3 linked regions of the Bombyx mori genome follow. The protein of the gene in region 3 purifies or fractionates together with the protein of the main gene of each other region. This does not show direct contact. Links are inferred from orthologs where the notes say so. Each region holds a gene or a part of one and is shown on either strand. Other genes may lie near its edges.

Region 1 (4,276 bases), on a different chromosome or scaffold from region 3:
TGTGAGTCCGCGCGGGTAGGTACCACCGCCCTGCCTATTTCTGCCGTGAGGCAATGCATTTCGGTTTGAAGGGTGGGGCAGCCGTTGTAACTATACTGAGACCTTACAACTTATATCTCAAGGTGGGTGGAGCATTTTACGTCGTAGATGTCTATGGGCTCCAGTAACCACTTAACACCAGGTGGGCTGTGAGTTCGTCCACCCAACTAAGCAATAAAAAAAAAAATGTTCACGTTTAGTATGTAAAGATTATTTTCCATCCAGCTAGTATCATTACTATTACAGTTCAACCCTGCACATGTTTTATACTCCATAGAGCAGGCCTGGCTAAAGGCCAGCCCGCGGTAGAATTTTTTTTGGCCCGTGAAGCATTTTATTATTATTAAAAACACAAATATTAGTTTTTGTATAACATAAATGCTGGTGGGAGCCAAAATGTTCTCCCGGACAACCCCTCTTTTCAGCGCCTCCTATTCGAAAATATAATTATGATAATTGAACAATTACAGTATGTATAAGAGTCGCACAATTTTATTAGTTATTATACTTATTATATCACATTATTGCATGAATAAACAAAATAACTTAAATCTAAAGCCGCCATTTTCTCCTGCAATATAGTAGAACGCAAGTTATTTTATATTAATTTTCATTTGGAGGAATATCTGTCCGCAATAAATTGGCAGAAAATTAAACGAAATAAAAGCATATATAGATCTACTGAGGGTGCATGCATCGTAAAACACTAAAGAAATAATGAAACTGAAACTCATGTATTTGCTTAACATATTTTTCAATTCGAAGAGTCGAACTAATTTTCTCAAAAGTTATAAAAAAATTATTAATTGACATCCTAAGCAAAAACTATACTTAAAATTAGAAAAAAAAAACTGTTTTGCCCGAGGTCAAATTTTCATCTGCAATGTGGCCCGACTATCAAAATATTTGCCCACCCCTGCTATAGTGTCCAGTATACTAATCATAAATCAACCACAGAGTGAAGGCACAAGTACAATGGTCCTAATTCAATGGTTCATATTCATTAAAATTATTATGCCACCGTGACCGTAGATAGTATTTTGCTTAATTTGTATCTGGACCAGAATATTTTCTGTGTTACACTAACTTTTCCTTAGCATTTTTTATTGCTGAGATGGATCAATAAGCTTACATGCCACCTGTTATTAAGTAATTACCAAATCCATAGTTATTCCAATAATGCATTTTAAAATTCAGTATGGTAAAATATGATGCTTTATTTAATCACAGACAATAGCTTCATGTGTGTGGTATCAAATTAAAGTACTTAGTGTCTGTAATTCATATGAAAAGAACTTAAAAAATTTGGTAAATGTTCTGACTCTTTACAGTTCCAGTAAAAAAAGTTTTGTACATATCATTACTATGTTGATAAATTGCAGTTTAACAATTAAAAACTTACTAGAGCAATGAAGCTTGACTGGTGGTAAGGACAGCTCTTTAGCAATATCTGTGTTCTTCAATTTTAGTGCCTCATCAACTGTTTTTCCTTTAACCCATTCAGTGGCAAGAGAGCTTGAAGCTATAGCTGAACCACATCCAAAAGTTTTAAATTTGGCATCAACGATTTTTCCATTCTCGTCCACTTTGATTTGCAACTTCATTACGTCTCCACATGCAGGTGCACCAACGAGGCCTGTACCTACATTTTTATCTTTCTTATCCAATGAACCAACATTGCGAGGATTCTCGTAATGGTCAATGACCTGTAAGATAAAGTATACTCTTATTATACATACTAATTTTATAAATCTGAAACTGTAATTGTTTGTTTGTTTGTCCCTTTGGTTAGATAGCAATGAATTCACATTTTCTTGAAATCGGCAATTCTAAATCCCTTAGTTAGTATAATAATATTTTGACTAGCTCAGTGAAACAGTTGCTGGCACTCTTTTTCCACTAGGGCGAAGATATTGCATAACTTAAATTCTCACATTAGACAATTACTTGAAATCTCAATCCTTAATAGTACTTAGGATGTATCCTTCTTCTTACCTATATGGTTGTAATGAAAGTGTATTTTATTTGTAGTTGAAAATTTTATGGTGAAAAATTTGTAGGTGATGAGATGACACTACAAACATACATGTAGAAAAAAAGGTAGTGGATATTTCCATCTAAGTATTATTTTTATTTAAGTAATTTACTATTAAAGTTGATTCAAATAATAAATTTTCGATCGAATGTACATTCTGGATTGTTCGACAAAAACTTGACACTCGTGAGGCTTATTTTATTATTTAAACAGCTTAAAGAGCTTGTTATAAATCTTAAGAGAAAATGAAATTATAAATGTATACTTTCCAAAATTTATACAATTTTCGATTGCATGTTGCAAGAAATGTCTAAATTTCGAAAATAATTTCTAATCGAGAATGGTTCCGGGAGTTTATTTTAAAAGACTCTTAATTAATTATTAACATTTTAATCGGCCGACCATTAGCTCCTACTCGCTTTTTCTGATGGTCAAGGTTTTTGCCAAAATTACGTCGCAAAGTAGAAAATCGATAATCCTTGACATTGGCAAATATTTTTGATGCATATAGGTACTTACGTTTGCATGATAAGGTGCCGCAAGAATCACATTAGGACTTCCAAAGCCTTTAAGACACATACATCGACGAATTCCGTTGATTAAAAAAGCCATTTTATATATTTCAGAAAAACAAATTCAGATGATAAACGTTCTTATATTTTAGACGACGTAGTCATAGATTATACACTTATTATATTTGGACGTAGTTTCAAGTTTTCAAGTATATAGTACTATATAGTTGGGTTTTTTTTAAAGGGATTTTGTGACCTGGTAACTAAGACCTTTAAGTCATGTCTTATTTTAATTTAAATATATTCATATTTTTATAAAAAATGATATTATGGAGTGAAATGAAATGAAGATGATTAATTTGAGACATTAATAAACTGGGATGAAATTAAATGAGATGATTTGGGATGAAATATAATCTCAGTAAAATGGTGGTCATTTACTGAGATTTTTTCAGTGGACTTTTTGGAGGATCCCGAGAAGTTACGTTCAGTGGCTTTGTTTCATTTCCCCACATTTGTGCACTTTCACAAATATTAAACGATTAATAAACCACCGTTATTACACATTTAAACCTGAAGAAACACTAAATAGACAAAATTAATAAAAAAAAATCATACAACTTCACTCCTCGCGTTCCCGCCAAAAAAGACCAATAATAGGTACCGTAAAATGGGGCGATTAGGGATCGAGAGGTGATTGGGGAAAAAAACAGGAAAATCTTTCGACGCGCAATACTAGTTTTTTAATCGTTGCAAAATCTTCCATTTTTTGTAGTGTAATAGTAGAATGTTGAAAGTTCACAAAACAACTCTGAATATGCATGATAATAACTTATAAAAAATCGTGTTTCAAATTAACTTTCTGTGGTGGTAATTATTTTAGTGCTAGAAACTTTGTTCTCTTTTATTTATTTTAAAATAATAGAAGAGGACTGTGATTTATAAACGCAAATTAGTGTTTGAACCATCATATATAAAATAAATAAATAAATAAATATTTACTAATAATCACGCCACGTTAACTGGTCCCGTGATAAGTTCGTAAAGAACTTGTGTTACAGGTACCAGATAACGGAAATAAATGTAAGATTTTGATTATACACATACATATATTTAATATACAACCATAACCCTGGAAAAGACATTTATATTTATCATATAATAATCTTCCCTTGGCGGGATTCGAACCCGCGACCACCTTGTGTAGTGACCATGTCACTTACCACTACACCAGACGGCCGTTATATTAAAGGTAAGTCTCAGTTGTTATTGGTATTAATGTATTTGATAAAATAAAAATACATGTAAAAATCTGTTGTTTTTGGGGATATTGGGGACGTCTCAGGTACAAATAACAACGAAAAAGGGGTCGATTGGGATGAGAATATGTGAAATGGAAACGACCTAAGTATAAATAGGTACAGGTTTCTAGGGTTGTCTATGTAATTATAACAATATTTTTTTTAATTGTTGGTAAGAATCTGGTTTATTCATGATGTTTTTGTCTACAACTTTTATTCAAAATTATCAATGCAGTGTTATTTTATTATGTGGCAAATATTTATATTATCAGTTACGCGTTGTTTTCTATTTTTAGATATGCCTCGCGTGTACGTATCAAAGAGTGCAAATCCTTATAAGACATATGATCCCTTAATATTAAAAACAGTAATAGAAGCCTATGAAATTA
Region 2 (4,112 bases), on a different chromosome or scaffold from region 3:
ATAATGTATATACATAATTTAGGAATCTGTCATCGTCATGTAGACGTTTGTCGTTAAAAATAAGATTCCCTCAAGGTTCGTGACACAATGACTGGTCGTCTGAAGCTTGGTCCAGATTTCCAATTACAAGGTATAATAAGGTACAATATCCTGATTTTTGTCTATTCAACGGTTATGATATCTGAAAATGGTTCAATTTATCAAAACTATCAAATAATTAAGTACTACTTTGTGATAATTACAACCCTTTATAAATGTTACTACAATGTTGTGCTAACATAAATATAATGACATATTTCTTTGTATACTTGATATAAGAAAATTAGATCAAGAGAAAGTATATTGTCATGAAATTTACTAAACGACATGATTTTGATGTAAAATGGGGTAAGAACTCTGGGCTGGTACCGAGTGGTATAGACATAGGGAAATGCATTTAGCTTTCTTCTGACTGGGTATTTTATGGTCTAATGGTATTATATAATGGCTTCAAATCATAATATGCAGGATATTGGTTCAAAATTTTGTGGTCTCACAGTGTGTCCCACTACCAGTAAATTAAAATGAATGGAAATACTGCTAATTTTACTATTGACATTTTTTTCATTAAATTGTAATCTTCATATCCATTATGTTTTATTTAATATAATATTTCTATATAATTACCAACTACGAAATTATATTATATTTAAAAATAATGATATCATATTAAAATATTCAACTTAAGCATGGGCTACTACGATTCACATCCTGTGAGCTCTTATTAAACCAAATCCAGCAGTAAAATCCAAATGGTATTTTTGTTCAGTTCAAAACTGTTCAATTAGGCAAGTAAGACCAAAGAAGCCATCATAATATAGATGTTAAGAGATGTGTCAGAAAAATACTCCCAGCTTTAAGAGGTGCTAGGTTAGGCTACTAATTTGAGAGTTGAACAAAGATGTAGACAAACATTCAAATGTTTTCATTTACATTAGTCATTTGATTTCAGGGAATCAAATATTTTAGTTCAAAAAGTGATTGAATTTTACTTGAACATTAACATTAAAATATCTTTACACTTAAATATAATTCCTTTTTTCATAAATTGTGTAAAAATAATCATCAAAAATTTATATTCATTTCATTTTTATATATATTTTAAGAGGCAGACCAGATGGTGAGTAGTACATGACATAGGCCATAGGATAGACACCAAAATGAGATTTTAATGTTTAAAATAATATCAAATAAGCTTTATTATTTAATTTCAACTGAGCTTGTTTGTACATCATTTCTAATTTTATGATGTTTATGTAAAGAGATAACCAATGGAAATATTTTATAATGATAATATAGGTTGAAGTCAACATCATTAAAGCACTCATTAGCTTTTGTGCAGCTTTCATTAATGTCATATTTTACATTTAGTAAACTTACTCCTTAACATTCACTCAATTGTAGCTACAGTTAAGATTTCAGCCCTTGAACTACAATATCATATTTACAATTTGTTTATTAATTGCTCGCTGTCTGCTTCTGCAAGCCAGCAGGGTCCATTATAGGTGGCTGCTTCTTAACTATACCCGAGAGTAAGGTTTTGATCTGGGCAATGGCCCGGCCTGGGTTCAGACCTTTAGGGCATGTGCGAGTGCAGTTCATGATTGTATGGCAACGGTATACCGAGTATGTGTCCTTGAGTTTTGATAAACGTTTCTCAGTGGCTTCATCTCGGGAGTCAATGATCCACCTGTAGGCCTGCATGAGGACAGCAGGGCCTAGGTACTTATCTCCATTCCACCAGTAGGACGGGCAACTCGTCGAACAGCAAGCACATAGCACACATTCATAGAGACCATCCAACTTGACGCGGTCCTCTACGTCCTGGAGCAATTGAGTCTCCTTACCTTTAACAGCTTCATTTTCACGCTGCAGCCACGGCTCGATAGACTGGTACTGCCGGTAAAAGTTGGTCAGATCGGGGACCAAGTCTTTGACGACGTACATGTGAGGTAGAGGATAAATCTTCGTCGGCTTGGAAATGTTTTGATCGATATGGCTGATGCAGGCCAGAGTGTTGACGCCGTCGATATTCATCGCACAAGAACCACAAACGCCCTCTCGGCACGAACGTCTGAAGGTCAGGGTTGGGTCTACTTCGTTCTTAATCTTCAGCAAAGCGTCCAATACCATAGGTGCGCAGTCGTCCAAATCCACTTCGAAATTTTGCGTATAAGGTTTCTTGTCGGGCTCATCGGGGTTCCATCGATAGACTGCGAAGGTCTTAACACGTTTTGCGAGGGATGCTGACGTAGCAAACGTACGCAGCTGCCCGAAGGTACCAGTCGTCAGCCTAAGCAAAGGCATTATGTAATGCTTAAATCACAATAAAAATATTTAATTTACACTACGTTAAATGGTCTAGACTCGTGGGTTTCACGGTCTAGCACAATCGTACAATATTAGCGTTCGTAACTTGTTTTGTTACTATTATGTCGAGTCGATTTATACCACCAAACGATAATCTTTTGAATGCCGAGTAGTGAATGGAAATTTTGATCGTTTGACATATTTGTTACTTCATTTTGACATTTTGTTTAATTCATTCTATTCGAAAGGCCAAGGGAACATAACTATTCTATACGACAAAATTATTTTTTATGAATTTACCAAAAGTTCGATGGATTATTGAAAGATCGATTTACTGGTGGCAGGACATGTTATCAGTACGCATGGGCATGTACTACCACCTTGGCAATTTCTGCCATGAAGAAGTATTGCTTTTCAGTTTGAAGGGTAGGGCAGCCGTTGTACTGTAAACATGTGACCTTAGAATTCATGTCTCGAGGTGGGTGGCGGCATTTACGTTGTAGATGTCTATGGGTTCCGGTAACAAGTTAACACACATCTAGCAATAAAAAAAAAAGATCTCGAGAAACCTTGTCTAGTGATTTGTTTTATTTTATCAACTTGTGCACTTTTATAGACGCTAAATCAACCGGTTAAGCGACAATTATCAAATGTATAAATCAGAGCAATCAGTTACAAGACAGAAAACAATATAACTTGATACGTTGCATTCTGAAAAAGTATTGCGGTCTGGCGGTATAGAATATTAATTAAGATTCATTTGCTTTGACAAGATCTAAATAGATATAAAAATATAAAAAATAAATAAGTTTTAATTTTACAATACTGTCTATTATTTTATGTTTCCTGTTTGTGTTTATTCAAAATGTACATTGAACTTACAATTAATTCACAACATGTCATTGTGACTATGAGCTCTTCTTAGTTTTTAAGCTAACAAAAAAGATGTCACCACCTACTTTGAGTCATGCCTAAGTCTCAATTGTATAAATACTGTTTGTTCTCCCCGCTACTGGTTTGGTTGGCATCCAATTCGCATTGGAAATAGGCAGGGTGGTGATATCTACCCATGCGGACCCACAAGACGCGGGCTTCCACCACTAATTACACAAATTAGTATTTTTGCGAGTTTGATTATTGAGTGGATTTGAATACATGCCTTCAACCTTTGAATATTTTCAGTGAAGAGAAGAACTTTTGATTTAAAGTACAAAGCTATAGTTTTCGTTCAATTTTGACGGCATTTTATGGAAGAGTAGGAATACTATGGTTTTTTTCCTCTACCTATTCGCTGATAGCTTAGGGGGCTATTTCAGATACGCCCGGATGGAAAGAAGAGATGGACGTCAATTTTATAAGATGACACTGTTGTCTAACAAAAAACACTGTGTAATCTATGTATATACTTATCTGTCAGCTGTCGTAGGTAGGTAGGTGTAGGTAGGTTAAATTGTGTTTTAGCGGGAAGTAAAAAGTAGTGAGAGGAATTGTTATTTTGTAAACATTACATATTGCGCGTTGAAAAAATTGGCGAATCCTTTATAAGAATAGGTACGACGTAAATATTATTTAGTACAGTTAAAAGAATTCGATTAACATTGATATAATTTTGATTCAAATATGTAAAACTGTCAATGAAATTATGAACATCAGTAACTCCGTACCGTCAAATAATAATGACTCCCCCAAACCCAAAACTCCAGGTGGTATAAGCAAATCATTACTTACGCCCTGCAGAAGAGTTGGTCTATCCCGTAATTGGA
Region 3 (3,687 bases):
AGATACATTCCGAAAAAAAGTAATAGTTCTCTGTACGTATGGGAAGATGACACCAATCCACGAAGATTGACCCAAGCCTCAAGATACAGACAGTTGGTCGGATGAATACCTCAAGCACCAGTCACCGTTCTCGCCGAACCCGTCGCTTGCGACGAATACTGACAAACAGGACGACCGCCGAATTCATAATAGTTCTTGTCATTTGACTGTGGAACCTTGAAAAATTAAAATTAATGATGTCGCCTTTGACGATAATTTATTCAGGTTCATTTCATTTTTACAGGGATTGAACTAACATTATCACTCAGGTTAGGGCGATGACAGAATCAAAATGTGCCCCCAGGCAAAGAATTATTTTTGTTCTTGCCTTCGAATGTTTATTTATACCAATATTAAGTTAAAATTATTAAAACATTATCTAATTGCATTAGACTGTACATCCAATATTACAAGCTGCAGCTGAAGTAAGCAAAAATTAACCAAATTATTGTGGTATTAAATTATATATTGTATTTGCATAATATATTTTATTTTCGAAAAACATTAGTACATAAACTATAATTTCAAATATACAACAATAATATTAAATCACATGATAGTTATTCGAATTTTATTCAACTCAATATTTAAATTTTGTTATCTTATTATTCCTTTACTTCGTATAACAGACTGTATTTGGTTATCTATACTGGTGTAATATTTTAATTGAGTTAGCAACTTGGTAACCCTTTTGAGATCACCTTCAAAGAATGCCGTTGATAACTGTTTTTGTAAGGACTGAATTTTATTTTTATTTTCCTCATTTAAATTCATGATTTCTTCCTCCGTTTCTGCTGATTCTACTTCTTCATTCTTCTCCATAATTTTCATAAGAAATTCTTGATCAACTTCTGTTTTTTCAGGAATGTCTTTACCTCTTAATTGAAGCATGTAGATACCTTAAATTAATTAAATAATATCGTAAAATCAATTTAGAAACTATTACCAAGACTTTATCATCACTGTTATAAAATAAATTAAGAAAATCTTGTTGTGAAGATTGTTTTAACTTTTTTTAAATGATTTGCTAATAATAAGAGATATGTGAAACATCATTCTTTTTATTCTATTCAGAGAAAAATATATTAGAAGCTTATAATAGTGTAAAGCAAATATTGCATGTTAAGAAACCTAAACATATTAAGAAAACTTAAATAAATATGTTGTAAAGCACAATGCTTCAAACAAGGCCTATAAAACTGATAATGTTGTATTAATTATATACAACTATAGATATAAGTTGAGTTTTAAAATTCATCTTCAGTATTTTGTATGTCTTGGCTTTGTATGTCAGTAACCTAAGGCTTGTCTTGAATAAAAACTATAAACAAGATTAGGATCAAGCAATTATTCCAATACAACTATAGCACATTTATTGTTTTGTGGTTGATAGTATTCATGTTGGACTCGAGTAAGCATATAATGCAAAGTGAGTGATGAGTTTTAGCTGCCTAACTAGAGTAATAAAAATACTACTTTTTCCCTCGATTTGTTTATATTAAAACAAAATTATTTTTATTTATTGCTTACCTCTTGCTAATGGTTCCAACAATGTTTTATAAGCTTCATTTACTAAGGAAGAATATTTTTCAGATATTTCTTGTTCTTCTTTGACTCTGGGAATAAAAAAGTGAATAAGCTTTTCATTAGTTCAATCGGATAGGATATATTTATATTGTAAATAAAATAAAGGTAAACCATATTTTATTGATTACTATAGCACATCGGTACAATCATGTCAAGTGGCACAGCCAAGTCCCAATATTAGTTTACAAAACTATAATCTTTCATTTAAAATTAAAACACTAAATATTGTAGAAATGTTTTATAAATATCATGATCACATTCTATAAATCATGTATTATAAATACCTATTAGCATATTTGTCTGGGTGTAGATATTTTTGCAGATCTTTGTATTTTTTAGCTAAATCATTTTCATTCAAATCATATGTTTCACTAACACCCATTATTTTGAAGTAATTGTCTTCTTTGTTTGGTTTCTGAAGGGCATTACAGTTAGAACAAAAGAGGTTCACGACCAAGGTTTTCGGGTCTTTTCCACAAGACCAACAGATAAAACGAAATTGGTGTGTTATGTACAGTTTTGTACTGTTGTTAGACAAAATTCGAAGGAAATTCATTTTAAGATTTTCTAAAACTGTATATTATGAAAGGTATTACAACATTCGAGACGGTCACGAGATTCAAATTTTATAATTTAAAAAATATTTCGCGAAAATTAAAATACTTTGTTTGTTTTCATTTAAATATGAAAAGGAGTAAGGACTTTGAAACCTTGGTATCAGCTGATAATATCCACAGATTACTTTCTTACAGTTTCGCTCCATATTATTTTTCATAAAACAGTTTTTTTTATTCCCCTTATAGGCCGACAAGCATACGGGTCGCTTGATCAGGAGTAGTTACCATCACTCAAGGATGTCAGCAATGTTAGGGGCATAGCTGAACTGGTACCTATCCCAAGAAATACAAAGGATTAGGCTATATGGTATAATGCCTTTCGCCTTTCTTGCTGGAAAAATGGAATTACTACTGTCTACTGTCATTGTCATTTCAAGCGCTCTGTCATACTCGGCAAAGACATATTTGTGTTGTTAATTTATCAGACCTCGGTACTTATGCAAAACAAATCGCATTTCAAATGTCATCTTAAAATGTACATACCTAAGTAATTAATAAATTAATATAAATAGTAATTACTAGTAATTTTAAAATCTTCCTGAGAATTGGAGACAAAATGACTTACTATACTATGGAAACATGTGGAGAAGGGACGAACTTTCAAAAAGAAATATCGAACATGATGCACGGATTTGGAGATAACCCGAACCCTAACGCTGCAACGGTACTTTTAGTAGAAAATATTGTTTTGCAACAGCTTAGGAGTATCCTACAAGAAGGAATATTTAATTCTAACTTGAGAGGAAGTAAAACAATCACTAACTACGACATAATATACACAATGCGTAACAATACTGTAAAATTAAAACGTTTGCACGATTACCAGCAAAAACTGGATCAAATCGACAACAAATCACAAGTAAACGTCACAACATCAGCCGAAACTATATACTCTAATATTATACTAGAAGACGAGAAGGATCCGACAATGAAAAAAAAGAGAACACATATTGATGTGATAAAACTAATAGACGAAGCTGATGAAGTGAGTCAGATAAAATTCGATGCGATCGATTACTTAAGGAAAGTGCGAGCTTCGAAATTAACAGAGTCAATGTCTTTTGAAAAGTATGAAGCCTATCATAAAGCTAGATGTAGTTCTTTCCGTTGCAATGGCTATGGAATCGGTAAAGGCTTTATAAAATTAGAAAGGTGGATCAATCCAACCAAGGAACTCAAAATTAGTCACTCGGCATTAGAAGTATTGTGTTTTATTGCTTACGAAACTGTGGCTGAAATTGTTGATGCTGTGTATTTGATTCGACAAGATGCCAAAAGGAAACACGGAGACCCTTTTAGTAAATATGAAGGTGGATATTTCTGTAATCCCTTAAGCTTAAGTAATGCTGTTTATATAAAGTCAGGTTATGAAGGAGTGCCTGCAATAACAGTGGCTGAAGTGAGAGAGGCATTGCGTCGTTACTTTTGTCCTATAAATGGAATG

What was found. The genes of interacting proteins can lie anywhere in the genome.
Region 1: the proteins of iron-sulfur cluster co-chaperone protein HscB (region 3) and iron-sulfur cluster assembly scaffold protein IscU purify together in Homo sapiens (affinity purification with western blotting; 3 studies listed by BioGRID and IntAct, with this or other methods). This does not show direct contact. The link is inferred for Bombyx mori from reciprocal best matches to the Homo sapiens genes HSCB and ISCU.
Region 2: the proteins of iron-sulfur cluster co-chaperone protein HscB (region 3) and uncharacterized protein LOC101746165 purify together in Homo sapiens (co-immunoprecipitation; 3 studies listed by BioGRID and IntAct, with this or other methods). This does not show direct contact. The link is inferred for Bombyx mori from reciprocal best matches to the Homo sapiens genes HSCB and SDHB.

What each region holds. Positions count from the first base shown.
Region 1 is NC_085129.1:12,109,147-12,113,422, reverse strand, and holds the start of iron-sulfur cluster assembly scaffold protein IscU, read right to left. Parts: upstream 2,801-4,276; 5' UTR 2,687-2,800; coding exon 2,594-2,686; intron 1,746-2,593; coding exon 1,365-1,745; 3' UTR 1-1,364.
Region 2 is NC_085132.1:953,369-957,480, reverse strand, and holds the start of uncharacterized protein LOC101746165, read right to left. Parts: upstream 2,801-4,112; 5' UTR 2,347-2,800; coding exon 1,498-2,346; 3' UTR 1-1,497. Other genes in the region: myb-like protein X, read left to right, coding at 3,992-4,112. UniProt on the Homo sapiens protein: Iron-sulfur protein (IP) subunit of the succinate dehydrogenase complex (mitochondrial respiratory chain complex II), responsible for transferring electrons from succinate to ubiquinone (coenzyme Q).
Region 3 is NC_085122.1:7,115,262-7,118,948, forward strand, and holds iron-sulfur cluster co-chaperone protein HscB, read right to left. Parts: upstream 2,366-3,687; 5' UTR 2,183-2,365; coding exon 1,911-2,182; exon of another isoform or gene 1,898-1,910; coding exon of another isoform or gene 1,884-1,897; intron 1,656-1,883; coding exon 1,570-1,655; intron 939-1,569; coding exon 637-938; 3' UTR 501-636; downstream 1-500. Other genes in the region: transcription initiation protein SPT3 homolog, read left to right, coding at 2,800-3,687.